Mus musculus: one gene and its partner. The protein of the gene in region 1 purifies or fractionates together with the protein of each later gene. This does not show direct contact. Links are inferred from orthologs where the notes say so. Each region holds a gene or a part of one and is shown in the gene's direction. Other genes may lie near its edges.

Evidence for each region.
Region 2: the proteins of Dot1l (region 1) and Npm1 purify together in Homo sapiens (affinity purification with mass spectrometry; 3 studies listed by BioGRID and IntAct, with this or other methods). This does not show direct contact. The link is inferred for Mus musculus from reciprocal best matches to the Homo sapiens genes DOT1L and NPM1.

What each region holds. Positions count from the first base shown.
Region 1 is NC_000076.6:80,749,038-80,763,535, forward strand, and holds the start of Dot1l (histone-lysine N-methyltransferase, H3 lysine-79 specific), read left to right. Parts: upstream 1-6,165; 5' UTR 6,166-6,406; coding exon 6,407-6,487; intron 6,488-14,498. UniProt on the Homo sapiens protein: Histone methyltransferase. Methylates 'Lys-79' of histone H3. Nucleosomes are preferred as substrate compared to free histones. Binds to DNA.
Region 2 is NC_000077.6:33,154,542-33,169,299, reverse strand, and holds the start of Npm1 (nucleophosmin), read left to right. Parts: upstream 1-6,093; 5' UTR 6,094-6,320; coding exon 6,321-6,378; intron 6,379-7,672; coding exon 7,673-7,752; intron 7,753-8,074; coding exon 8,075-8,194; intron 8,195-8,378; coding exon 8,379-8,472; intron 8,473-8,859; coding exon 8,860-8,966; intron 8,967-9,304; coding exon 9,305-9,366; intron 9,367-12,251; coding exon 12,252-12,309; intron 12,310-12,552; coding exon 12,553-12,636; intron 12,637-13,195; coding exon 13,196-13,297; intron 13,298-14,079; coding exon of another isoform or gene 14,080-14,088; exon of another isoform or gene 14,089-14,758. UniProt on the Homo sapiens protein: Involved in diverse cellular processes such as ribosome biogenesis, centrosome duplication, protein chaperoning, histone assembly, cell proliferation, and regulation of tumor suppressors p53/TP53 and ARF.

The sequences.
Region 1 (14,498 bases):
GGCCCCAGGGATTCCAGGAATCCTCCTGTCTCTGCCTCCTTAACTCTGAGATCGATTAAAAGTGTGCGCCACTATTTCTGGGCCTGTTGTGGGTTCTGAAGATCAAAACTCTGGCCCTCAAGCCTGCATGGTGGCCACTTTACCACCTGAGCCATGTCCCTAGCTCTCTGGGATTTGATTATTTAAAAAAAAAATTAAAGAAAAATCAGGTGTAGTGAGTGTTGCATGCCATTAATCCCAGCACTCCGAAGCAGATCTCTGTAAATTCAGGGCCAGCCTGATTTATGTAGTGAGTTCCAGGACAGTATAGCCCTGGCTGTCCTGGAACTTACTTTGTAGACCAAGTTGGCCTCGAACTCAGAAATCTGCCTGCCTCTGCCTCCCGAGTGCTGGGATTAAAGGCGTTCACCACCACACCTGGCAAACAAATACTTTAAAACAACTCTTCATTACATTTATTTATTTATTTATTTATGGTGTGCATGCTTGCTTGTGTGCGTGTGGAGGTCAGTGGGCATTTCCCAGAAGTTGGTTCTCTCCTATCCATTGCCAGGGTCTCAGCATGCCAGCATTGCCATTGATCAGACTCCAGCATGCCAGCAGCAGCTCTGCCGAAAGCATCTCTGTAGCCTTGGTTGGTTTTGTTCTGAGTAGGTTACATCAACTTGAGACAGCTAGAATCATCTTGGAAGATAGAGCATCGACTGGGTAAAGGCCCTAACCAGACTGATCCCTGGGCCATTTTCTTGGCCGAGGTCCAGTAGAGTGAACTGGCCACGGGGGCAAGCCATTCTGCAGTCCTCCTCCATTGCCTATGCCCAAGGTCCTGCCTGCCTTCAGGTTCCAGGCCTGAATTCTCTTGGTGATGCGCTACACCTGCAGGATGAAATATTGCTTCCACTCCCAGCACCTTTGCTCAGGGTATTTCAGGGTGGATTTTTAGTATGTTTATTTGTTTGTTTGTTTTGCTCTTTGTTTTGGGGTTTTTGTTGTTGTTGTTGTTGTTGTTGTTGTTGTTGTTGTTGTTTCTCAAGACAGGGTTTCTCCGTGTAGCCCTGGCTGTCCTGGAACTCACTCTGTAGACCAGGCTGGCTTTGAACTCAGAAATCTGCCTGCCTCTGCTTCCCAAGTGCTGGGATTAAAGGTGTGTGCCACCACTGCCCGGCATTAGTTTTTTGTTTGTTTATTTTGTTTTGTTTTTTAAAGAATTATTTACTTTATATATGTGAGTACACTATAGCTGTCTTCAGACACCCCAGAAGAGGGCATCAGATCCCATTACAGATGGTTGTGAGCCACCATGTGGTTTCTGGGAATTGAACTGAGGACCTCTGGAAGAGCAGTCAGTGCTCTTAACTTCTGAGCCATCTACACACACACACACACACACACACACACACTTTTTTTTCAAGACAGAGTCTCTGTGTAGCCCTGGTAATCTTGGAGCTTGCTCTGTAGACTAGGCTGACCTTGAACTCACAGAGATCAGCCTGCCTGTCTCCAGAGTGCTGGGATTAAAGGCGTGTGCCATCACTCCTGGCCTATTTTCTGTTCTTTAAACAGTTTATTTACTCTGTATGTCTGTGTTTGTGTGTGCCTGCAGGTGTATATATGGGTGGGTAGGGCATGGAAGTCAGAGGATAGCCTAGGCTGTGATCCCCAGAGGATAGCCTCGGCTGTGTTCTTCAGGACTGCTGCCTACTCCTTTTGAGCCAGTTTCTCCTAGCCTGGAACTCATTAATTAGACTAGGCTGGCTCCTGTCTGTGCTTTTCCAGTTCCTGAATTCCAGGGGCCACCACCCCAGGGCTGGCACCAGGGCATGCCACCACCCTAGGCCTGACACTTGTGTGTGGGCACCAGAACTAAAATAGGATTCTTGTCTTTGAAGGCAAACTCCTCACCAACTGAGCCATTCCTCTGGCCCTTTTCTTTGTTTATGAAAGTATATGTGTCCAATGTGTATGGAGGTCTGAGCTTGAAGTCCTGCATCTCCATCTCTCTCCACCTTAGACATGGACATGAGGTCCCTCTTTTAAAAAAAAGAAAGAAAGAAAAGAAGAGAAGAGAAGAGGAGAGAAGAGAAGAGAAGAGAAGAGAAGAGAAGAGAAAAGAAAAGAAAAGAAAAGAAAAGAAAAGAAAAGAAAAGAAAAGAAAAAAGATGTATTATATATATGAGTGTTCTATCTCCTGCACGACAGAAGAGGGCAGCAGATACCCTTGTTGATGGTTGTGAGCCACTATGTGGTTGCTGGGAATTGAACTCAGCAACTCTGGAAGAGCAGCAAGTGCTCTTTATAGATCTTCTCAGTCATCTCTTAACTGCTCTGCCTCCACCTCCCAGTGCAGTGGTGGGTGAGAGGCTAGTTCACCACACCCCGTTTATGAGAGTTGTTCCGGCGATGCAGCTCAGGGTTTCCCACGTTCCAGGTCAGCTCTCCACCCACTTATCCCATATCTGGTGTTGGTCTGGAACTTAAACTCCCCACTCTTGAGAGTACTTTGGAGTTCAGGCACAGTGCTGGCTGGGAGGGAGTGGCCGATGGCAAACCCCCGGCTTCCTCGGCTATTACTCAGACTTCCAGAAATAGAGCCGAGTGCGCACACATATAGAAACGGAGGTTATTTTAAGATGTGACTCACAGGATCCTGTGGGCTCTCAGCCCAAAATTAGCAGAACCGGCCAGCGCCTTGAAACCAAGAAGGTGCAGGAAGCTGCAGAGGAACTTCTAAGACAGAGGCTGGGGATGTGGGGAGACTTCCCGCTCCCTCTGGAGCCACGGTGTGGGCGAGGGGACTTCCCTCTCCCTCTGGACCTAGGCTTTCTCTTGCTTCTTTTAGGTTTTAAGCTGAGTTTGGTAACAAAAGGTAAAAGGATATCTGGGCACGGGTGGGGGTGTCTTCTTGAGGTCCTGAGCATACATACCCCTCACATCCCAGACTCCTCGTGCCCGCATGGAACCCTCCATATCCCAGCACATAATCCTTAAAATTCCAGCACTTGGGGTGCCGGAAGGCGATGAGTTAAAACTTTCCTGGGCAATATATATAGACACTAAATCTTAAACTCCCGTGTAGAACCCCCAGTGAGGGAGGGGCTGGGAGTGTGGACAGGGCTGGAACTCTATCTAGAATCCTCCAATGAGGGGTTGAGGCATGGTTAGGGTTAAGCCCTGCCTCCTGGGGGTGGGGGAGGAAAAGGGGTGGGCTGGGGGCGTGGTCAGGGGTGGAGCCTCGCCTAGAATCCTCTGTGAGTGATTGGGGGCGTGTTTGGCAAGGAAGTGCTTGGCCCTAGCTCCTAGGAGGCACCAGGCTATGCCCTATTAGCTCTGGCAATGAAAGCATGAGAGACCTGGGAAATTCTCTCCACTACCACTGAAGTTGGGACATTGTCTTGTAGGGAAAGATGAGCCTCACTCTGGACAACACAAGGAGAAAGTAATAGCTACAAGGCACGGAGGAGAGCTCTGTGTAGGAATCCCCTAGAGTGAGTAACAGGATTGGCCTTCTCTCTAAAGGGCATGAGGAAGTAGGTCAGATATAAAGAACGTTCACAGTCTGTCACTGCAGCAGCAGGCTGGGGGGCTGCTGGTCAAGGTCTGCTCTTAGACTAGCTTAGTGGGACAGTATTTGCTCAAGTTCATTTCCTTAATCAAGCAGGAAATAAAGAAAAGAAAAGAAAAGAAAAGAAAAAGAAAAGGCATTCAAGGTCATTCTGGCCTACAGAAGACTGTCCCAAGAACACCACCAGCAACAACCAGCCAAAGCTGAAGCAGAATGGACATGGTGCCTCCAGAGGGCTTTATCTCAGCACTCCACTCGGGAGGCAGAGGCAGGCCGATCTCTGTGAGTTTAAGGCCAGCCTGGGCTACTTATCAACTTTCTTTTGTTTTGTTTTGTTTTGTTTTTTAAAATTTTTTTCCAGACAGGGTTTCTCTGTATAGCCCTGGGTGTCCTGGAACTCACTCTGTAGAGCAGGCTGGCCTCGAATTCAGAAATCCACCTGCCTCTGCCTCCCAAGTGCTGGGATTAAAGATGCATGCCACCACTGCCCTGCACATATCAACTTTCAAAGCTACACAATGATCTCCTCTCAAAAAAAAAAAAAAAAAAAAAAGTAAAACAAGATAACAAAATCAAACGTAGAAGCCGCCGGGTGTGGTGGCACACCCTGTCTCGAAAAACCAAACCAAAAAACAAACAAACAAAAAAACATAGAAGCCAACAAATAAAAACAATAGAGCAATCTAGGAAGAGCCAATGCAGACTTCTGCAAGGAAGGATAATCTCGGCTCAGGCCCAGGCTATCCACCTGCCTCTGCCTGTGTCCCAAGAGCCCTGTGTAACCCATGAGTTACCTGGCAAGTTCAGTTTCTTGACCTGCTTACATCATACCAAGTGTACTGGCTAGTTTTGTGTCAACTTGACAGAGAAAGGAGCTTCAGCTGGGGAAATGCCTCCATGAGATCCAGCTGTAAGGCATTTTCTTTTTTCTTTTTTTTTTTTAATTTATTTTTATTATATGTAAGTACACTGTAGCTGTCTTCAGACACCCCAGAAGAGGGAGTCAGATCTCATTATGGATGGTTGTGAGCCACCATGTGGTTGCTGGGATTTGAACTTCGGACCTTTGGAAGAGCAGTAAGGTGCTCTTACCCACTGAGCCATCTCACCAGCCCATGTAAGGCATTTTCTTAATTAGTGATCAAGGGGGGAGGTCCCCTTGTGAGTGGTGCCATCCCTGGGCTGGTAGTCTTGGGTTCTATAAGAGAGCAAGCTGCAGCCAGGGCTACACAGAGAAACCCTGTCTTGGGAAAAAAATGTATTTAAGAGAGAGAGAGAGAGAGAGAGAGAGAGAGCGCAAGCTGAGCAAGCCAGGGGAAGCAAGCCAGTAAAGAACATCCCTCCATGGCCTCTGCATCAGCTCCTGCTTCCTGACCTGCCTGAGTTCCAGTCCTGACATCCTTTGGTGATTAACAGCAATGTGGAAGTGTAAGGTGAATAAACCCTTTCCTCCCCAACTTGCTTCTTGGTCCTGATGTTTGTGCAGGAATAGAAGCCCTGACTGAGACACCAAGCTACAGAGTCTTTTACCACGTCATTTAGTTTTGGAACGAGGGCTCACTGAGTTGCCCAGGCTGGCCCGGAATTTACTTGGTAGCTCAGCATGGCTTCTAGCTCCGGATCCTTCTTTTGGGGGCTGGCAAGCGCTAGGATGAGGGGTGGGAGCCATCTCCCCTAGATTACATTCACTCCCATGTAGTCAGGAAGAAGAAGCAGCTATCCAGAAGCGGCTGGTGAGCTGGTGACAGCTCACCTCAAGGTAACTTATTCTCAGAAGGTTTTGGGGGGAGGGAACTTAAGTATTAGAAGGATTGGAATGGCCTAAGAAGGAAATAAGTTTGGCTCCTGACTCTGTAAAGTTCTGGGCAGGTCAGAGAATAACATTGCTTTGAACTCTTAATTGAGAGCCTCCGACCTATAGGGTCCAATTTGACTGATGATTTATTAATTAACTTATTGCTCACATCTTTAATCCCAGCTCTCAGGAGGCAGAGGCAGGTGGATTTTGGTAAATTCGAGGTCAGACTGGTCAACAGAATGAGTTCCTGGACAGCCAGGGACACCCTGTCTCAAAAAAAAAAAAAAAAAAAAAAGCATGTAAATAAACAATAAGCAGATAGGCTAGAAAAGTGAAAAAATAGAAAAGCTAAAGAAGGGGAAAAATTGAAAAATGAAAAAAAAAAGAAAGAAAGAAAAAGCCAGAAAAACAGAAAAAGAAAATTGACGGGAAGGGAAGAGAAAGAAAAAGAACAGGAAATGGAAAGAAAAGAAAAAAGCAAAGCAAAGCGAAGGGACGCGAAGCAAGCCTGTGCAACTGGGATTTGAACTTGACCCCGCCTGGTCTCTCTCGCTTTCCTCCGCAGGGTTTCCCCGGGTCCCCGCTTCCGGCTGGCGGCGACGTCGGAGGGCAACCGAGGACGTGCGTGCGCCGCTGCGTGCGTAAGTGCGTGCGTCGGTCGGAGGAGGGCGAGTCCAAGGGGGCGTGGCGTGCGAGGGGTGGCGCGCGCGGCGCGGCGGGCGGAGGCTCTGGGCGCGCACCGCCTCTTGGCTCCCGGCCTCCCCCGCGCGCGCTCGCCGAGTGGTTCCGCCCGACCCCCCGGCTCATTGTGCCTTCTCCTCACGCCGGCCCAAGATGGCGGCGGCTCTAGACGCCCCGGCTCTGTGACTCCTACAAAGAGGGGAGCTGGGGCCACACGGGAGCGGCGGCCGAGGCACAGGCCGGGCCGTCTGTCCTCAGCCGTCCGCCCCGCGTCCGCCCGTGTCCGCCCGCCCGGCTTCCCGCCGGTGGCCCCGCCCCTCCCCCAACCGCCCGCCTAGCATGGTGCGGCGGCCGCGCGCGCCGACATGGGCGAGAAGCTGGAGCTGAGGCTCAAGTCGCCTGTGGGCGCCGAGCCCGCCGTCTACCCGTGGCCGCTGCCGGTCTACGTGAGTGTACTTGCGGAGAACGCGGGGGTAGGAGTCGTGGGGCTCCGCGGCGGCAGCGGCGGCGGCGGCGGGTCCTTGGCCGTTCTCGGCCCGCGCCTGCCGTTGCCCTGACGCGGCCGGTCGCGTTGTCGCCGCCGCCGGCCCGGAGCCCCGCGTCTCCAGCCTTTGAGGACCTGAGTCTGGACCGACCTTGTGGGCAGGGGTGTAGAGACTGAGAAGTCGGGGATTCCTTGCCTTTCGTGGCGACCCCTCATGTTGTCACCTCAAATTGTCACCTCACGTGCCCTCTTCCAGTCATCTGTTTCTTATCCTGATGCCTTCTCCTATTGTCCTCTATGCCCTTTCTCGTTGTCACCTTTTGATGTTCATGGGCAGGTGCTAAAAAGAACCCTAGGAAGTCAGGGGGAGGTTGGCCCTTGGGTTTGGGTTGTCCCCCCACGTTCGTGGAGTGGTAGGAGGGCTCCGAATAGTTGTTTCTTCATGTCAGGGTGCCCGGCTGAAAGAACCTGAGAAGTTAGAGAGGTTGTCATCTCAATTTGTACCTCATGTGTCGTTTGACGTTGGTGGATTGGCCTGGAGGTACATTGGAATGCTGGAGCAGTTGTTTCTTAATGTTGGTGGCATGGCTAGAGGGGACTTAGGGAGTCTGGAGGTTGTCCTCTCATGCTGGTGGGTAGAGCTGGTGCGACTCTGCAAAGCTGGAGGTGTTATCCCTTAAAGTGGAAGTGCCAGAGGCAAGTGGGTTCTGAAGTCCAGGAGGGCCTGCGGAGGTCAGTGTACTGTCCCCTTGTGGCCCTTTGTATGCTTTGAGTAGAAGATACAGCAGTGGGGTTCCCTGGTGCTGCTGAGTTCACATCCTCACTGGGGTCCCAGGGAACATGTGTGTCCTGGGATGCCCTTGCACCTGTCCTCTGCCTCTTCGAATTAGGCAGCCCTGTGTGTCCTTGAACATTCCCACAAGTGTCCACTCAACTCTCCTGAGGTCAGCAAGATGGCTCAGCAACAGTCTTATAATCTGAGTTCCATGTTTGGGACATGGGCAGAAGGGAGAGTACCAACTTCCACAAGTTCTCTGACCTCACTGTGTGCACAGACACAGCCACTCACAAATGTAATAGGAATTTTGAAATATCTGTTTGTGTGTATGCTGGTCATGGTGGCACACACTTTTAATCCTGGCACTTGGCAGAGGCAGGAGGAGTCCTGACCAACCTGGTCTATAGTGTGGGTTCCTGGTTGGTGGTCTGCCTACAAAGAGTCTGAGAAATTGGGGAGGCTTGTCCCTCTTCTTACCACGACTGGAAGGACTGTGGGAAATGGGAAAAGTTGTCCCCTGGTGTTGGTGGAGTCTGAGAGGTTGGGAAGTCCGGGAGGTTGTCTGGTGAGGCTGTCTGGAAGAGCACACTCTTTAGTACGTTCCCTCTCAGAGTTGGCTGTTCTGACTAGCCACCCTTCGCAGGGCAGTTCTGTGAGTTGTGGTCACAGTCGAGGTGCAGCCTACTTCAGCCACCTCAGCCTCCCCTCCACTGTCCTTCTGTCATTTGCCTCCCACTTCCTTGGCTGTCACATTGTGTTCTCTGCTAGCAGCTTTTTCTAGAAAGTCCAGGGAATGATCAGCAACTCTGCAGTGTTCACCCGGGAGAATGTGTCTGAGACTTGCCCACCCACGCTGTCTGAGGGTTTGAGGCTGCCCCTAGTTTTTCTTTTAGCTGGGCAGCATCCTTTGGGCAGTGAGCCAAGTTTGGTGATGATTCTGCCAGTCATAGGATGCCTGTGCTGGCCTAGTGTTTTCTTTTTCTATTGTTTCTTTGGTCTTGTTATATAGTGGCTGACCTGGAACTCATTCTGTAGCTCAGGCTGGCCTTGAACTTGCAGTGATATCCAGCTTCTGCCCCAAGTGCTGGTTGGGATGATGGGCTTGTACCCCTGTGGTGTGTGTGTGTGTGTGTTGGGGATGCGGGGAGTTTAGAACTCCAGACACCTGCAGTAGCCTTGTTCAAGCTGAAGCTGTCACTGAGGAGACCAAGAAATGGGCTGCTTGGTCTGTACTGAGTAGACAGTCACCAGGCTGTATCCTCAAAGTTGTCATATATGAGTTTGAAGGGTTAAAAAAAACTACCACAACCTTGTTGGTGCCCATTTGAATGGTGCTTCTAGTTTGCCTCTGCCCTGTCCCCTGGTGATGAAGGCTGAAAGTTCACCCAGTGACGCTGACCCTTTCATGTGAATCAGGCCTTCAGTTGAGCCTGGCGGGAACTGGCTTTCCAGTGGCGGGTGGCTGGGAATGACCGCCCAGTGCCTTTCCCTTGCTGGCCCAGATCTCATTTGGCAAGGTTGGCTCTGCTGGCCCAGCCCTGCTCCTGACATCTGCAGGCACTTTCCAGCTGTGGCTGTCACATTGCTCTCCATCCAGGAGCCAGCAGGTGGCAGGGTAGGGGTGGTTAGCTCTCTCAAAGCCTGAGCAGAGCAGCAGCTCCACAGTGCCCTATTCTAGTACCATGTTCCATGGAGAGTTCTGCTTCTTAGGAAGCCAGAACCTGGCACACACCAGTGTCAGACCTGCCATGCTAGCTCCCAGGAAGTGGCGGCAGAGGGATCAGGAGTTCAAGACCAGCTTTGACTATATAGTGAGTTCCATGCCAGCCTGTCCCACATATTGGGGCGCATCAGACTCTTGTTTCAGGTCCCTTCCCCCAATCAGGCAAACACAGAAAAATCTGTTGTGCTGTGATCCCATTACTGAGGCATTGTGTGCCCACCCACCTACAGGCCTTCCCAGTCTATTCTGTTTGTTTTGGGATGGATGGAGTCTTAGCATAATCCAACTGGCCTTCATCCTCCTGCCTCCTTCAGAGTCCTGGGATGCCAGGTGTGTGCCACCAGGTCTGGCTTTATAATCCTTTGTAAAAAGCACCTGCAAGCTACCTTTGGTGCCCCTGGGGCACAGAGGATAGAAAGACATTCATCACTGCAGGCTCTGGAACTTGACAGACAGATTAGGAACTGAGTGTGGCAGTCATGGGCCTGGGCTGGTGGCCCAGCTTCTTAGAGGAGTTGAGTAGCCTTGTGTTCACACTCAGAAATACCCAGTTTGGAGACCAGGTTTGGACAAGTGACAGGTGGGAGGGGGACACCATCCTTATAGCAGTTTAGGGCTCTGGAACCTCACAGAGTAATCCCTTTGGCAGAAGTGATGTAGATGTCATTTTTAGCTGTTTGCTTGGCAGGCAGCTTAGGGGACAAACCTGAGAAGGAGGACTAGGGTGGCCTTCCTGTTGGTGACTCAGTAGGCCATGTGTGGTGGCGTGTCCCTTCTGATGAGTTCAGGAGTCCCGTGGGTGGCTGGGTGAGTCGTGCTGTGGGTAGAATGAGCCAGCCCCAGCGTGACTCAGAAGGTATTTTCTTCTGCTGACCTTTTCGGATAAGTGTCCAGGCTAATCTGTGCTCACGTGGGCAAAGGTGGGTTGACCTTTAGCCTGCCTATGTGGGCCAATTACCTGTTTCAGCAGGGAAAGGATGGTAACGGTGGGCTTCCATGTGTGGCCAAGGGAAACATTGGCTCTGTACTTGCCTTTCAAACCCACTTACTGATGAGAGTAGGGGACTGCCCGGAAACCACCAGCTGGGTGAGATGGTCTGATTCTGTACCCAGGGCAGTTTGGCACTCACCATGTAGCCCAGGCTAACTTCAAACTTAGAGCAATCCTGTCTTTTTCTCTCAACTGCTATGAATATGGGTATGAGATGTCCTGCTGGCTTCAAGTTACATGTGAGGTTAAGTGATGAGGACAGACCACCTCTCCCAGCCTCCCTGCAGGGTATGTGACACTCTGTTAGGTGTCATTACTTCTGTCACATGGAAAGGTTAGCCAGCCATTCTCATGGGGTCTGTCTTTAATTGACACTTGGTGATGCCTAGTGATATTTGTGGTTGCCATAATTGGGAAGAGGGAAAACTTGGGCACTGGGCTCCTGCCGAGTTGGGTTCTGGATAACAGAGACACAGGTCTGCCACCCCGTATCTCAGATTGGATAAGTGGTCTGTTTGTTGGAGCAGACCTGTCCTTTTTTCCTGGGGTCCTCGTTATGCAAGCCAAGCTGGTTATCTTTCCAGAACATTGGTGTCCAACCACCTGACTGTTGGTCTGTTGCTAACTTAACCCAAACACAGCTGTCCATTGTATGTGGACACCAGCTCTGGGGTTGAGATGTGATAACCTTCTGAGGTCCTACACAGGCTAAACTACTGCAGGCTGCTCTGCTGGTGGTGTGAGTATGCTGGGGCATAGGCAGGGTAGGACTGTTCAGGGAGGGAGTGTCAAGCAGTTACTGGAGCATCTGCCTCCTTCCTTACTCTCCCTCCTCCACTCCCCCCCCCCCCCCCAGACTCCTGACTCTGCCTTTACCTCCAGAGTGCTGGTTTACACAGTGTTGGGGATGGAGCCCCAGGCTTTGTGCATTCTAGGGAGTGCTAGACCTACTGAGCTATATTCAAGCTCAGAAGGGTAGCACCTGTCCACTTGTGGGAAGGTCCGGGTTTGTCCAAAACCAGTACCCAAACAGGTTACCTGACAGGGTCTGTGGAATAATCAGAGGTCAGGCAGCTATTATAGCTCTCTAGTTCTAGAACAGTCCATCACCCCCATGAATAGTCATCTGTTCCCAGCCCATGAGTATAACTTTCTGTTTAAGGATTATCTGTTGGACATCTCTTACTGCCAAGCTACTCCCTGTGGTCCTGTCACCAATGTTAGAACCCTGTGCTTCTGCCTTTGCCACTGGCTTGTGGTATTTGAGTGTGGAAACAGACTTCCAGGTCTTAGGCTTTAGAAGACGAACTTGTTTCCTCCATGCTAGAGTGGAGTAACAGGATAGAATGGGGTGGCACCAAGATCCATAAGGGCATTCATATACACCAGGCAACTTTTTTAAAAGGATGGAATTTTAGCTGGGCGTGGTAGCGCATGCCTTTAATCCCAGCACTCATGAGGCAGAGGCAGGCTTATTTCTGAGTTTGAGGCCAGCCTGGTCTAACAGAGTGAGTTCCAGGACAGCCAGGGCTACATAGAGAAACCCTGCCTCGGAAAAAAAAAAAAGTGGAATTTTATTTACTGTGCACAGGTATTCACGACGTGTGAGGGTAGAAGACAGAAGAGGATGCTGTGTCCTCTTATGTCACTGTCTGTCCCTTTGAGGCAGGGTCCTTTGCTGGACCTGATGATTTGCCTTCTCAGGTAGACTGGAAGCCAGCTGGCTCCAGTCCCAGGTCCCCACACCCCTGCTGGGGTTACAGGAGCTTTGACTGCTTACCTTCTGATTGCAGGGCAAGTGCTGTGAATTCTTGGTCTCTCTCTGGTCCCTGTGCAATATTCACAGCCGCCCCAGTGCCCAGATGCAATGCCATGCTATCTTGCTGTTGTCTGGGCAGGGCTCCTTGCCTCTCCTTGAAGGCTTGTCCCAGCTCTCCTAAGACAAAGGGTAACCAAGCCCCTGTCCTTTGCCCTCATACCCTGAGGGAGGAGTGGCCTGCAAGAAGGAGGACACAAAAGTGTCCTGATGGTGAATATGCAGTCACTCTTATCTATTGACTAACCTATATCACTTAATAGACCTGGGTTGATGGTGTCAGTCCCCTTTGAAGACCTCAGAGGCCAGCTTTCCATGGAAAGTTCAGCAGAAACCCTTGTGGCTGCAGGGCAGGCAGCTGGCACAAATGGGCTGGCTCTGGCCTCATCTCTGTCCTTGTAGCTGAGCAAGGACACTTGTTCTTTTGTGAACCTTTGAGTCCCCATCCTATACTTGCCTCCTGCCTTCAGGAAGATGGGCAGCCAGGAAGCTGGGTGTCCCCATGTGTGCTGTGAATTAGTACCCTGGAGCTGGGCCAGACCCTGGGTCCCTTTGTGGACTTTTGAGTTCAGAGTCAAGTCTTAAAAAAAAAAAAAAAAAAGTTCTCTAGGCTGGATGTGTCTGTGGTCCCAGTTGCTTGGGAGGCTGGGGCAAAGAGATTGCCTGAACCCCCACAATAAAGTTACCAGAAAGTTATAGACTGAGTGTCTCCCTTCCCCTCCTCCTCCTTTCTCTGTGTGTGTATGTCTGTGTACACACGTGTGAACAGACATACCCTAAGCTTGGAATGTGGTGTGCATTCTTAGGATAGCCCATCAGGTTGAGACTGTACATGTGATATGATCATAACCCTGTGTGGGCTTTTCCAGGGTTCTTAGTTCTTTGTGTGGGACTATGTTTGCTAATGACTGAGGTCATGGTTGATTTAGTGTCTGAGGCTTCCTCAGGCTTCTCTGCAGGATGCACGCTTTAGGGGTCACTCACTGGGGGATCCCACGGGTCTTTGGCACTGGGATGGAGATGTAGACCCCTTTGAGCTTATCCTTGATCAAGGGACCTGTCCTGGGATTCTCTGTGAGGCTCCTGCCTCTCTTGCCCTTGTACAGGCAATGCTTTGTTTGGCTGTTGGTCACCCTGCATGTGATCTGAGCAGTTGATGGTTATCAGTTGAGGCAAGTTCAGGAGGGTTTGGAACAGCCTTCCACACCTTTGCTGTAATGGTATTTGATGGCCACAGAAGAGTGTTTTGTTTGTTTTTCCACACAGGTTCTCTCCATGTTTTCCTGACTGTCTTGGAATTTACTTTTTAGACCAAGCTGGCCTTGAACTTCTGTCTCTGCCTCCCGAGTGCTTGGATTATGAAGGGGTGCACCACCATGCCCTGCCTGCTGCTTCCTTACTCCCCTCCCCTCCCCTCCCCTGCCTGCCCTCCCTCCCTCCCTCCCTCTTTCTTTCTTTCTTTCTTTCTTTCTTTCTTTCTTTCTTTCTTTCACAGGGCCCCTCTCTCTCTGTAGTCTTGGTTGGCCTTGAACTCACAGAGATCCACCTTCCTCTGTCTCTGCTGTGACTAAAGGCATATGTGCCACTGCCCCATACCACTTGAGTGTTGCTTTGTAGAAGAAATTAGCTGCTGTGGTTTGTTGATGAGTATAGGCAAGCCTGGTGCAGTGGCACAAATGTGTGATCTCAGCAGCACTCAGGAGGCCAGGGCAGGATTAGGCATTTCAGGGTATCTATAGTGATCATTCTGTTCACAAATTCAAAAAGCACTGAAGTCGCTCAGCAGGTGAGGCACTTAGCAGTGAATTCCTAGTGCTGCACCAGATGTGGGCTGTCCCTGTACAAAGAGACCAGCATTTCTCATGAACGCAGGCTCCTGGGGCTGTGCCCAGCATAGTCCCTTCATTCCCAGGTGCCTGCATGCCTGTCCCTTTCCTAGGAACACAGCTGGAAGAATCTGCTCCTCTTAGTTTGTAAGCTCAGGACTGAGTGGGCATAGTAGGCCCAACAAAACTCAAGAGTGTGTCCTGGTCCTCAGTAAGTGGGGAAGCCCTAAGAACCCTACAAGATAATCAATCAATCAATCAATCCCAACATTTGGGAGGTAGAGACAGGAGTTGTGCTACCTGCATGTTTGTCTGCACCATGTCCATGCAGTGCCTATGGAGGCCAGAAGAAGGCATCATATCCACTGGAGCTGGAGTGATAGGCTGTTGTGAGCCACCATGTGGTTGCTGGGAATTGAACCTGGATTATCTGCTAGAGCTTCTAGTGCTCTAACCACCTAGCTGCCTTTCCAGCTGCACAGCATTTCTAAGATCTTTCTGAGCTGTGACAACCACCTGGGTTGAGTGCCCAGTAAGTTACTAGAGAGTAGCCCAGGCATGGGTATCACATGCTATATAGGCCCTCTTTCCAGCAGTGTTGGAGTATATTCTCACTCTGTTCTTCCCAGTCTCCAAAGCAAGTCAGGCTGATATCCCAGGCCCTGGGTGCTCAGGGGTGACCTCGGGACAAGGTTGATCTTGAAGAGACTGGGTACACTGGGTATTCACATCTGGTAGACACACATGAAAGTGTGTTTGTGTGTGTCTGCCTGCCTGCCTGGGCATACATTCATGCACACATTCTCTGGTACCTTTGTTGTTATACAGTGAGAAAGAAG
Region 2 (14,758 bases), on another chromosome or scaffold:
TGTGTGGCTCAGGATAAAGACCTTCTGCATTCCGTGGGCACTGTATGCTTAGGTGGTGTACAGATATACCTGCAAGCAAAACACGCAGGCATACAAAAGAAATATGATTTATTTCATTTTAAAATTATATGTATATGTGTGTATACATGAGTCCTCTGTGTGTGTGTGTGATATTTTGGCAAAGGATGTGGCTGCTTTTTGCCTTGTTCCTAAAAATCTGTCTGAGGCTAAATGAAAGCACTTGGGAGGCAGAGGCAGGTTGATTTCTGAGAGTTCAAGGCCACCCTGGTCTACAAAGCAAGTTTCAGGACAGCCAGGGCTGGCTGGTCCACAGAGGAAACCCTGAACCAGGATAAAAGAAAGGGATTATGGGATATGTCCCTGTGCCTAAGGAAAGCCGCTGAGGTCAGGCATGTGTCACCTGTGTCTCTGCATGGAGGCCTAAGAAAGCTATTTCTTGGGCTGGTGAGATGGCTCAGCGGGTAAGAGCTGCTCTTCCAAAGGTCCTGAGTTCAAATCCCAGAAACCATATGGTGGCTCACAACCATCTATAACAAGATCTGGTGGCCTCTTCTGGTGTGTCTAAAGACAGCTACAGTGTACTTACACATAATAAATAAATAAATCTTTAAAAAAAAAGACTTATTTTAAAAAAAAAAAAAGAAAGAAAGTCATTTCATGAACTGTGAAGATGAAGCTCGGGTTATACTGGAAACTGCAAGATGTTGGAGATGCCAAAGTGGTGAGAGCTGCAGCCAGGAGTAGGACCTGCCCGAGAGAGAGAGAGAGAGAGAGAGAGAGAGAGAGAGAGGAAGAGAGAGAGAGAGAGAGAGAGAGAGAGAGAGAGAGAGAGAGAGAGAGAGAGAAAGTGGCAGTCAACAAAGCTGAAAGGATTTGGAGACCTGAAGAGTGTTTTTACATCAGACATGGAGATGCTGAGTTTGGCGTTTGCCCTGCTGGGTTTTGGTCTTGCTTTAGTCCAGTATTTCCTCTCTGCGCTCCTTTTTCTCCTTTTGGAATAAAAAATGTGTATCCTGTGCCATTTATGTTGGCAGTCTGTGGGTCTGCTTTTTAAAATTTTATAGGGCTTACAGTTGAGATTGTTACAAGTCTCAAAACTTTGAACTCTGGATTTTTAAAGTGTTGTGACTGTGATAGACTATGGGGACTTCTGAAGTTGGACTAAATGCATTTGTGCATTATGATATGGCTATCAGCCTATGGGGGGCCAGGGAGTAGAATGTAGTGGTTTGACTCCTCTAATTTAATACTTAGTTATCAGGAAGTGACACTATCTGAATGGATTAGAAGAGTTAGGAGCTGTGCCCTTGTAAGAAGAAGTGCATCACCGAGGTTTCAAAACCTATATCAGACCTGGTTTCTCATTTTCTTGGTCTGTAGATCAGTGTCTAGCTCTCAGCTACTGCTCTAGCACCATGAGTGACATGTCCCACCATACTCCAGGCCACCGTGTTGATGAACTAAACCTCTGAATCTGTAAGCAAGTCCTCATACTTTCTTTTATTAGAGTAGTCTTGGATCTCTTCACAGCAATAGAATAGTGTATACATGAGTGCACATGTGTGTATGCATGTGCATGTTTGTGTAGGCATCTATACATGTCTGTGTTCATGTGTGTGTTGTAGATGGTTGGGTTGGGACAGGACTACGAGGATAGGACCCAGGGACCACATAAGACAAACAGACTAGAGCCTCCTACTCTGCCTCTGGAATGCTGGGATTAAAGGTGAAGCTGAGTAGCCTTTGAATTCCTGCACCTCTGGCCTCCATCCCCATTCCACCCCCCACTCCAGTAAATGCTGGATTACAGGTGTACACCACTATGCCAGCATCAGGAGGAACTTCCACAGTTTTCTACAATGGCTCTTCTAATTTACATGCCCCAAAACAGTATACAAATTTCCATTCCAGGACTGAACAACAAGCACTGGCTACATTTTGTCTTTGTGGATGTCCCAGAATATTTGTGTGTGTGTGTGTGTGTGTGTGTGTGTGTGTGTGTGTGTGTGTGTGTAAAATGAGGTTTGTGAGTTATTTCTCCACTGATGCTGTGCAGATGTTTTTAGTGTGAGCAGTCCTGTTTGTTTATCTTCTTTGTTGAACTATAACCTCAGTTCCAGTCTCTCTCTCTCTCTCTCTCTCAGACAGGGTTTCTCCATATAGCTGAAATTCATTCTGTAGACCAAGCTGGACTTGAATGCAGGGATTAGAAGCATATGCCACCATGCCCAGGTCTATCTCTTAAAAAAAAATGTCTCATATGGAAGAAGATAAAAGAGTGGATAGAAACAGTTCAGATAACAAATTAAGTTCTTCTAAACTTGATGATATTGAATCTCCAGTCTCCAGGACTCAGTGATCCCGGAGACAGAGGAAACACAAAGGGAGGCATACTATTTTCTTAATGTCAAGGGTCCCTTTGTTTATCCCTCTCCTCTTTTCCCTAATCTCCAACTCTTTGGACAAGGTCTCATGTAACCCAGGCTAATCCTGAACTCTGATCCTTCTGCCTCCATTGTCTCAAGTACTGAGATTATAGGCACTTCGTCCAGGCTAATCTGAGTGGAAAACATCTTAGAATCAACCAGGGAAACCATGTCTGAGCCCAGCACTTTAGAAGCTGAGGCATGAGGATTGAGTTCTAGTCTTGTACTGTAAGACTGCCCCCCCCCAAGCTGGGCCTCCACTCAAGTCCCGGGATGAGCTGGCCAGCAACCCACTGAGAAAACCACACCTGATGCAAACTGCAAGAGGCTCGGTAACAGTAGGGGGTCTTTTAACAGTTAGCTGAGGAATTGGGAGTACCGCTCTTCTCTGGCAGCAGAGGTGGTGGTGGTGGTGGGGGGTAGGGGTGTGTGTGTGTGTGTGTGTGGGGGGGGTGTCCTTGGCACAGGGAGCCAGGCAATTGCCTGGCTAGGCCTTTTTTTTTTTTTTTTTTTTTTTTTACAATTATCGCATCTCTGATTGTAAGGTATTGAAACAAATAAAGTTTTTTGCTGGCTATAGAGAACAAAGAGCTTCTTTCTGACTGTATTTTTAGAGATCAGGGAAAACAAGCTTGGGGGAATGTTTTAGGGGCTTTACCTTTCAGGGAGAAACACTTTAAATCGGGGTCTCACAGTACTACATATGGATACCTGTCTCAATAGCCATGGAGGAGGGCAAGAAGGACACATTGCAGAGAGAACAAATATAGAAATGCAGGCTGGAGATGTGGGTCAATGGTAGAGCAGTGCTTGTCCAACACTCAGGGTCCTGGGATTAATACTCACTGCAGGAAAAAATGAATCAAAACCAAAGCAAACCACAAGCAAAACCTCCAAATCAAACTTCCTGCTTGAAAACAACAACAACAACAACCACCCCCATACAAACTCTGGAGATAATATAGTAACTTTAAACTATTGAAAGAAAAGGTTTTGTTTTTGTTTTTCAATACAGGGTTTCTCTATATAGCCCTGGCTGTCCTGGAACTCACTCTGTAGACCAGGCTGGCCTTGAACTCAGAAATCCGCCTGCCTCTGCCTCCCAAGTGCTAGGATTAAAGGCGTGTGCCACCACTGCCTGGCCTGTTTGTTTATTTAAGACACTTTTTTTTTGTTTTTGTTTTTTTTGGTTAAGCGCAGGTATGTGGGCTGCGACATTAAAAGTATGGTCCGGGGCTGGAGAGATGCTTCAGTGGTTAAGAGCACTGACTGATCTTATGAAGGTCCTGAGTTCAAATCCCAGCAACCACATGGTGGCTTACAACCATCTGTAATGACATCTGACACCTTCTACTGGTGTGTCTGAAGACAGCTACAGTGTACTTACATATAAATAATAAATAAATCTTAAAAAAAAAAGTACGGTCCATCAAAATGGTATACTGTTAGACACAATTAAGCTTCCAGGACGAGATGTTTGTTTTTTGTTTTGTTTTGGTTTGTTTTTTTCGAGACAGGGTTTCTCTGTGTAGCCCTGGCTGTCCTGGAACTCACTCTGTAGACCCGGCTGTCCTTGAACTCAGAAATCTGCCTGCCTCTGCCTCCCGAGTACTGGGATTAAAGGTGTGTGCTACAACCACCACAGCAGGATCTTGAAATGGAGATTTCTCAAATGGCTTTCTTTTCCTATATCTTTATCTAAGAGAAACTTTATCTAAGTTTCTCTTATAGGATACCTTCTTGGCTACTGTCTACAGATATACCCAGAAGCTCATGGGGTATTTCTCTTTTCAGTTTATTTTTAATTGATGTAAAGTGTATCTATCTATTTATGATGTATGGCGTACTTGGGAATATGTATAATGCATTGAATGGCCTAATCAATGTGAGTCTGGACATTTCTTCTCATATATCTGTAGTCATGTGGTGTAGTATGAAATACAGTTGTATAGTTGTCACTTGGTATCCACAAGAGATCAGCTAATTCCAGGATGATTCGTGCCCACACCCAAATATGCAGATGGGAAGATGTGTATTAAATAGCATGCTGTGTGTGTGTGGAGACAACTGTTGAAGCTGGGCATTGGCCATAGGATTCTGTTTTTATGTTTTAAAGCATGCTAAAAACTAATAAAAGCATGGAATAAAAAAAAAAAAAAGATAGTATTTTGTTGTAAGGTAATATACACAGCTCTTACTCATTGTACCTAAGCATGTGGCATCATTCAGTGACAACTAAGGCACCTAAAGTTTCGGGGAGGCAGGAAGAACTGAGTCTCTGTGTAGTCCTGCCTATCCTGGAACTTGCTCTGTAGACCACTGGTCTTGAACTCCTGATCCACTTGCCTGTGCCTCCAGAGTGCTGGGATTAAACCAGCATGAGCTGCATTTAAATAAGCTTCAGAATCCAGAAACAATCAAACTGTCTGGCTTGCACAGGCTCAAGGGGTATCAATGCTTCCTCCTGCACCTTCTCAGTTTGGATGGTCAAATTCTGTTCACCCGTTCTTTCCCACACTATACCCAGTCTATCTCTGTTTATTTTATTATTATTATTATTTTGGTTTTTCGAGACAGGGTTTCTCTGTATAGCCCTGGCTATCCTGGAACTCACTCTGTAGACCAGGTTGGCCTCGAACTCAGAAATCCGCCTGCCTCTGCCTCCCGCAAACTGGGATTAAAGGCGTGCGCCACCACGCCCGACTTTTTTTTTTTTTTTCTCTGTTTATTTACACACACAATTCTTCCAAGTTTCATGATTTTTTCCTTATAGTTGCAAACTGAAATTCACATATTGACAGATATCTCCGAATTTAGGATTTGATACGTAATGGGCTCACATGCATTTATATCTGACACGTCTCTGGAGTCTACAAACATTGGTACCATTATCTACATTCCTCCCCCAAATTCTTAAATATGCTAGCTCCATGTTGAGATAAAAAGATTAGGGCCGCTGTCAGAAAGCACCCAACGCTGAGGGATGTTCGTCAGGATTCATTTTAAAGCGCTAATTCCCAGCCGAAGATTCGTATTAAGGCTCATGAATTTCTAAAAAAGCGATAGGCCTTCATTTGGAATGATGAAGACGGCCTGCGTTTTCTCAGTTCTGCACGCTCTAAAGTTTTAGAAAGATGCTCTTTGGAGGCGACTGACTGGGTTTCTCTTTGGTCCCCAAATGACATAAAGCTGATAATTTTCGTTTTGAAAATGCTGCCTCAGAAAAGAGGTGCAAAAGCATGGCTGCGGGGAAAGTAGCCTAGATCCAGCCACTCCGCCCTGGGCTCCTGAAGCTACGTGAAAACGAAGAGCAAGCCTTCGAGCAAGCCAAATCCTGAGGTGATTATGCTTGTTCCAGGCCTACGGGGAACGGAGGGTGGAGAAAAGAGACGCTCTGTGGTTCCCTGGCTGCAGCCGCCATCTTTCAGGGTGGGCTGCGCACGCTCTCGGCCCTGGGCCCGCGAGCACGAGCGGAGAAGACGTGGAAGCCCTGAAAACCCAGAGCGAGGCCACAAAGAGAAAACGCGCCTGCGCTTGGGCGACAGTAGTGGAGGGACGGGGCCAGAGACGAACGCGCGTGCGCAGTGAGAGCCCGCCAAGCACCTGGAGGAGGAGGGGGGCGAGGTACCTAGGCGTGAGGATGAAAGGCGCACGCGCAAAAGCGCGACTGTGCGGGGAGTGGGAGGGATCCAGAGGAGGCTCGCGGAGGCAGGACTAGCGCAGATCTCGCGAGATCTCCTGCGACCATATATACGTGCGGAGAGCCCGCGTCCTTTCCTTGGCGTGATTCCGTCCTGCGCGTCTGTTCTGTGGAACAGGAGGCAGTTGTTTTCCGTCCGGCTTCTCCCACACCGAAGTGCGCGCCTCCACCTCATGGAAGACTCGATGGATATGGACATGAGTCCTCTTAGGCCTCAGAACTACCTTTTCGGTAACTGACTGGAGGGGGAAGCGTGTGCAGGGCCTGGTGATGGGGGGGGGGGCGGGAGCCCAGCCGAGGCCTGGCGTGTGGGGAACGCGGCGTAGGTGGAGGCCGGAGAGCAAGGAGGAATCTCCCAGGCCTTAGAAGCAGCGGCCTGAACACTAGGAAAGCCGCCGGAAAATGGGGCGGGAGCGGCCCAGCCTGTAGCCTCGGGTGTTAGGAGCGGCCGGCCGGCCGGCGAGGGTGCGACCTTGCCTGTGGCGCGAACTTGAGAGGCGTTTCTCCTGTGCACGAAAGCCCGCACGGTCGCTTCCGAGCTCCTTTTTTTCCTCTTGTGTTGAGCCACGGCAGGCGGCACGGGAGAAAGGGGCCTGTGGAGCGAGGCGAGGCCTACCTCCGCCCTGTTGGGGAGGATACATCTGCAGGCGCTGGGCTTTCCAGGGGCCGCATCTTGTATTCTGTGGCGACCGAGGGCTTCGCCCAGTAACGGGGAATGGTCCGAGCAGGCGCCCTGAGGCAGAAGGGGCAGCAACCCCTAGGAGCACGTGGTTGCCACGTGGTTGGGGGTTAGGGAGGGGGTGTGGGCTCTACATCCGGGCTCTCCGACTCTAGCCAACCTTCAGCCGTGGGATCTTGTGGCTTAGTTAAAAGTTCTGGGAGGGAAATGTTTATTTCATAGCCCGTGGCGTATGGGTTTTTGAGATCTTTGTTCATATCTTTCAGTATCCACAGTGATGGAGCCCCCCCTTTTTAATTTGCCTCTGGTAGGCGGAGTCAGCATCACGTTGCAGATAGCTGTACTGATGGCCCACGTGGCTTAATGTTAGGAGTACCCTTAAATCATCTACCTGGCTCTATCTAGAACTACTTTTTCTTGGGGTGGGGAGAGGGAAGGATCTGTTGAACAGACAAGATTCGCTTTAGCATCAAGGCTTTTGGGGATCACATCTATAGTCTTGCTGCCTACCCTACACCCAGTTTTTGTTTAAAAGAATCAGTTTGTTTTTCAGTGATTCACGTTTTAGCTTTTTAACAGTCCTGAGATTAAAGGAACAGTGAACTCTGCCACTCGTTCATTAATTCTAGTAGTGTTTATACCGATTTCACCATACTACTTTAAAGAGACTCATTAAGTCTACTGTGGAAACCAGCAATGTTGCCTCAATGTAGTTAGTACTATGAGAAAATTAAAGATTTTTTTTTTTAATGTTTCATTTGAGTTGATTTCACAGAACTTTAGGCTTTGGGTTTTGATGTAAGTATCATTGCTAGGTTTGCTTTCTTGTTTTTGTCTTACATACAGGCTGTGAACTAAAGGCTGACAAAGACTATCACTTTAAAGTGGATAATGATGAAAATGAGCACCAGTTGTCATTAAGAACGGTATGTAAGCTCTGAAACTTAAAAACATTTCAGACATTTCCTACTGATGAACTAGGAGTTTAATCCCAGAAAAGATAGGGGATCTTTGTCACTTGTAATTTTGTATAGCTTGGTCACTCCAAGGTGCTAGATAGGTGCTTTGTAGAACAGTGCTTGTTTTTAATCTGCCAGCTTTATTCATTTAAAGGAACAGTTGTGTATATGGTAATTCTGTTGTGAAACGCTTCAATTCTAATTCTAATGGTGAGATGACTAGTTTTCTTTTCGTCAGTAGTGGTGAAAAGCCACTTTAAAAGTTTCTTTGAAACATTTTTATTCACAGGTCAGTTTAGGAGCAGGGGCAAAAGATGAGTTACACATCGTAGAGGCAGAAGCAATGAACTATGAAGGCAGTCCAATTAAAGTAACACTGGCAACTTTGAAAATGTCTGTACAACCAACAGTAAGTACATTTCTAAATTTTGGATTTCATGTTGGTTCAGGTCTCTTGCGTCATTTGGGGTCAGTGTCATTTAGGTTTTGCAAAGACGTATCTTTTACCAAGATTATTTCTGCTGCTATTATAAATAGGTTTATTTCATTGTAGAACTTGCTGGTAATATCTGTTGTAAAACTCTTATTTTTAGGTTTCCCTAGGGGGCTTTGAAATTACACCACCTGTGGTCTTACGGTTGAAGTGTGGTTCAGGGCCTGTGCACATTAGTGGACAGCATCTAGTAGGTAGGTTTTTTTTTGTCATAGTTTTCAATATAGGCTAGCTTTTTTAATATTTTAAACATTTGTATCTTTGCACATCTGCCATGGAATGCTTGTCCTGGTCAGACAAGACAATTTCCCTAGCATCTTTAATTGCTATCACATGAGTTCTGGGGATCAATCTAACACGACGAATGTGTTTGGTTGGGTTCAGCTATTCAGGACCCTATGACCAATGAGGCTATCTTTCAATCTAGACTTCCATTTGGACTGTCGTAGTTCTACAAAGACCTGATTTCTGTCTTTAAAATACAGTAAATCTTTTCTGTTCATTTGCTACCTTTAATGGAATCTTAAAAATGCTATGGGTTACTTGTTCTTGTCGAGTTAGTATGTCTAATTCTATTTTAGCTGTAGAGGAAGATGCAGAGTCTGAAGATGAAGATGAGGAGGACGTAAAACTCTTAGGCATGTCTGGAAAGCGATCTGCTCCTGGAGGTGGTAACAAGGTTCCACAGGTAAAGAAAGGAAAGATCTTTTTGTTTGTTTTTTGTTTTTCAAGACAGGGTTTCTCTGTGTAGCCCTGGGTGTCCTGGAACTCACTTTGTAGAACAGGCTGGCCTTGAACTCAGAAATCCACCTGCCTCTGCCTCCCGAGCACTGGGGTTAAAGGTGTGTGCCAGGAAAGAGTTTTAAAAAGTATTTCTGGCTGGGGGTGGTCTACAAAGTGAGTTCCAGGACACCCAGGGCTACACAGAGAAACATTGGTATCGAAAAAAAAAAACAAAATTTCTGGCATTTACTTTGGCTAATCACCAAAATTTCTCTTGCTAATGGATGCATATTATTCTTTCAGAAAAAAGTAAAACTTGATGAAGATGATGAGGACGATGATGAGGACGATGAGGATGATGAGGAGTAAGTATAAGTACTATGATCTCAAAAACTTGATCTTACAGGTACTTGTAAGGGTTTAGGAGGATTGACTTGCCAGTGGTTGATGTTTGAAAGTAAAAGATTTTGACCTATGATTCCATGTTTGCCTTACAAACAAGCTATTTATTGTATGTGGGACATTGATGGGGGGGTTGAATTAATTTATTTTTTTGAGACAGGGTTTCTCTGTGTAGCCCTGGCTGTCCTGGAACTCACTCTGTAGTTCAGGCTGGCCTGGAACTCGGAAATCTGCCTGCCTCTGCCTCCCAAGTGTGTGCGCCACTGTGCCCGGCTGGGACATTGATTTTTCTTGGGAGTTATTGTTAGGAGTAAGATTTTATGTGTTCAATATAAGTAACAGCTAGATGGGAAGTATGGAATTCGTTAAAAATATTTTTATTACATATTTTCCTCAATTACATTTCCAATGCTATCCCAAAAGTCCCCCATACCCTCCCCCCGAAGTATGGAATTATTATTTGTAGTCTTATATTTGTTACCTTCCTGTCTTATAGAAGTTCTGGAATTGGTCAAGTATATTCTGAGCTAAGATAACTGTTCAAAGCAAACTTGGGAACTAGTCTTCATTATATTGATTACTGTATTCATAGTGGGGACATAGTAAGGGACAAATAATAGTCTTGAGGTTATCAGGGTTAGTAGTTCTTCTGGTGTGATAATGGTTCATCATACAGAGATGATGCCCACGAGAATAAAATGATAGCTGAAGATTATTTACTATTTAAGTTGGAGAGTTTAATCACATTGCCAGAAAGTTCTGGATCAAAGAATGCAAAGAGGCTTTAAACACATACTCTGTATACAAGCCTATGGATTAAAGTCCTGGATCAGATAATTCAAATTGTTTGATTTCAAGATTGACTTTATATATTTCATTGTATATAGTTTAACAATGTTTGGGGAGTAGCCAGGCAGTGGTGTCGCATGCACTTGGGAGGCAGAGGCAGGTTGATTTCTGTGTTCGAGGCCAGCCTGGTCTACAGTGAGTTCCAGGACAGCCAGGGCTACACAGAGAAACCCTGTCGAAAAACCAAAAAAAATTGGGGAGTAGAACAGATGAGTGGGTTATATTGCAAATAATGACATTTATGCAGAGATTTTTTTGACTATTTTGCCATTTAAGAGCTTAGAAGATAACCCTGAGGAATGTTGTTAGAACTAAGTATTGAATGCTGCTGTACTAAAGGACAGATATATGTGGTCTCATAAGATGGTATTGCCTTTTGGTTTTATTAGACATTTTTATTTACATTTCAAATATCCCCTTTTCTAGTTTCCCCTCTGAAAACCCCCTATCCCCCTCTCCATGCTCACCAACACCCATTCCTGCTTCCTGGCCCTGGCATTCCTCTATACTGGGGCATAAAACCACCAGCATCAAGGGCCTTTTTAATCTTAAGGATAAAATCATTGGAATAGTGTTTTGGTGGTATGACTGATACTACTACATGGTTTAGGATAGAAGAAAAGAGTAGTTTTATAGAAATTAGTATTGTTTCTGGTACCAAGCATCTACATGGATTGGGTGTAAGGTAAGGTCATTTTTATACTAACCTGTAGTGTTAAATTACCAAAACCACTGGATTTACATGTAGCAGATCCTAACAAGAGAGAATCTCCCCACTGAAAAGGTAATTTACATGAAGTTCAAACTTTTGACTTTAACACTAGTGTGGAAAATGTAGTCACTGTTGGTGATTTTGCTTACAGACTTTGTATGAGCAATTGGACATTATATACTTAGGTATAGACATGGAGATGTTTCAGTGGCCATACTGAATGTGATTTGCCCCCTTCTAAAAAATCACAGTATGCCTGAAGAACATTTTGTATTCCTCTTAAAGCAAGTGCCATGTGACTTTATATCATAATCTCAGCTCTAAATTGGAAGTGAGAAGCAGCACCCTTTTTTGAGCTAGGACGTTACACTAAGTATTTGGAGGTGGACTGTTGTTAATTTCAATCTGGCAGCTTAATTCCAGTGCCACATATATATGTCTTTAGGAGGAGCCAATAAAGTTAGCCTTGTCAAACACTGCACATAACACATTGGAATGAAGTGTAAGCAGAAGCATCTTTACAGTAAGACAGGTAGAATCAACAAATGTAGTAAAATTTTTACTATAGAATTTTTGATCAATCTTTGGCTACATTTAAATTATTTGAGTATTTTGCAACATTTCATCACCACCATTTCGGTCTGGCTTTGATTTTTGACAGAATTGATCCCTATAGTTTTTAAGGGCTGAAAAGTCATGTGCATGTGTCATTGACTGTAGGTATTTGGGGTTGCTGTCACCACCTTGTGGGAGTTCTTCCTAAATTTACCTCTTGAAGAGTAATGTGTGAAGCAGTATCTTTGTTTGGTTTATTCCCTAGGTGACTAACAGTCTTACATGTTTACTGACCATATGTTTGGGGAGAAATGGTCTGTTCAAATTTCTTGCATAAGTAATTAGTATCTTTGCTCTAGTTACTGGGATATGTAAAAGTTAATCCCTACACTGCAGAGGAGAGGACACTAAAGGCATATATGTACTAACACCTGGCTAAATGTTAACTCTAAAAAGCCTAGTTTCTTTATGGTTTGGTACAAAGCTGATTTGGTTGAAGCTATTTATTTACTAATAACATTGCAAAATTAATCAACTACACAACCCTTTGAAACAATACTCTCAAGTATTATATAAAAATGTTTGTTAGGTTTCTTAAGTATTGATCCATTCAAATACTGGTGCAAATTCACTTTTATTAACAATTGTGCTACAGTGGATGAATATGGTTTAGTTCTTTTGTAAAATTGACTAAAAATTTAAGTTCTGTGTGTTGGCTTATTTCATTTATAGTGATGATGATGATGATTTTGATGAAGAGGAAACTGAAGAAAAGGTCCCAGTGAAGAAAGTGAGTACATGAGATACTATGAGGTTTATCATGGGTAGCTAGTAAAAGGATGGGAATTTCTTAGTGCTAGTAGTAAAAACTGGCTGAATTGATCTTAAAAATTGGTTCTGAGCTAAACAGGAAAATTTGAGAACGCTATCTGTATGTGAGTTACAATTTATTAGTTTGTTTTAGGACAGTTTAATCTGAGTTGATCTCTACTCTGGAGAGGGCATATGGATTAAGGCCATTTTCTACTTGCAGTCTGTACGAGATACCCCAGCCAAAAATGCACAAAAATCAAACCAAAATGGAAAAGACTTAAAACCATCAACACCGAGATCAAAGGTAAGTACCCAACAACAGACCTACTAAATTCAGTGCCTAAAAAAACTTTGTGCTTTGTGGTACTTAACCTTGCCTACATAATAGACTATAGTGCACACTAAGATAGCCCAATACATAAATTTGTGAAGTGTGTCATGTTCTGTGGTGGATTCCAAGGTTGACTTATTTTGTAGACTTGTTGAATTCTGACCTGTTATAGCTTTCACGATCTGGGTGGTGTGTGTGTATTTGTAGAGGTCAGGAGTTGTCTTAAGAGGCTTGTCAGGATTGATTGACTTTATTTTGAAGCATCTCTTCCAATCTTTTACTTTAAGATTTATTTATATAAGTACACTAGCTGTTTTTCAGACAGATGGTTGTGAGCTACCATGTGGTTGCTGGGAATTGAACTCTGACCTCTAACTGCTTATGCATCTTCAGCCCTCTAGTCCTGACAGGCTTTCTAGCTAGGAACAATTAGCAACTTCTCTGTGCTCTATAAGGGATTTTAGGGAGGAGGGAAATCTTGGTAATTACTTTGTTAAGAACTGTACTAATAATCTTTGAAAACTTTTTCCAGGGTCAAGAGTCCTTCAAAAAACAGGAAAAGACTCCTAAAACACCAAAAGGACCTAGTTCTGTAGAAGACATTAAGGCAAAAATGCAAGCAAGTATAGAAAAAGTGAGTAAAATTAACCTTTGAATATTAGAAATTCTACTAATGTGGGAATTTGGGTTAAAAGTAGATTATAAGTAAGAATATTCATAAATTACTCCAATAAAATGTATAAGGGTACTTTTTTTACTGGGGTTATGCTGTAGAACAAGCAGAGGGTGTTTTGTTTTCAGTAAAATTAAAAACAGCTGGAAAAGTAAGAGTAAAGTGGTTGGCTGCCTGAGGTTATTTTATAGCTAAGAAAAAAAGAATCACCTTTAAGTATTTCACAACAATTTGAGTTATTTCTGTGCCCTCTGTTCCAAAGCTCCCTCAGTCCATGACCTGAAATTTGTGTGTGTGGCTAATAGGCTTTCATCTAGTTTGAAATAGAATTTATCTTTCTTGGCATTTGGCTGGGACTAAATACATTTATATAAACCTGGGTTGTGTAGAATGGAATAATACAAATGATTTTTTTTTTTTTTGGAGAGCTAAGTTTATCTCCATTATGATTCTAACATGTGAATTACTTGAATACATGTGGAATGTTATGCAGATTGCCCATTCTTTTTCCTATTTTTTTCCTGTCTTGTAGTTCTCACATGGCTTCAGAAGATTTTCTTCCTTTGTGCAGCCACAAATGGATTGGAATTTAGCACTTGGCAGCACATTTCATATTTCTTATTAAACTGTAAACTTAAGTTTCCTGGTGTCACTGATTTATTTTTTATCCCTTGCATACACTGCTAAAATGATGCCCCTCCCCCCCATTTTAATGTGGTCCTATCTCCTTGGTTTAATTGCAGGCGCATTGAACATTCCTGGGCACTACTGGTAAATTAAGCCCAAAGATGGGGAAAGAGGAAAAGGAGAAACAAATATAGTACCATCAACAATCCAGACATCTCAATCCCCTTTCCTGATTGGCCATCCATTCCCCCTTGCAGGCTGGAAGCAATCTTGTTTTTCCTAAAGCATTTTTCTTTTACTTTTGTGATGCAGAAAACTACTTCTCTACCACTTGTGCATATGCCTCATTTCTTTGACCATGTTTTAACCTTTGTATCCTTAGCTACTCTCAATAAATTTTTAAATGAATCAATAAGGATGTATGTGACAATATTTTCAAATTACCGTAGTGAATTATTTTCTAGGTGATGAAGGCAATTGAGTACCTTAATACTCAAGGTGATTCTGGAATTTGGAAGCCTTAGTCTTGCTAAGTGCATAGAAATGCAAAAAGGTTAAAATTTAGAGAAGTGGATTTTATATGAAATAGGGGATAATCTGTAGTGACACTTTATGCTGATAAGTTAACATTTGCATTGCAGTATCTTAATTTGTAAGAATTTTGGCAGCAAAACTTGCTGATAATTGTGGTTTAGTCTACATTCATAATTGGAAGCATGCCAAATCGATGCTACAGTTAGTAATAAGGTACCTACTTTTAAATCCCTTCAATTGCGTGCTTTCCTAGGTAATTGG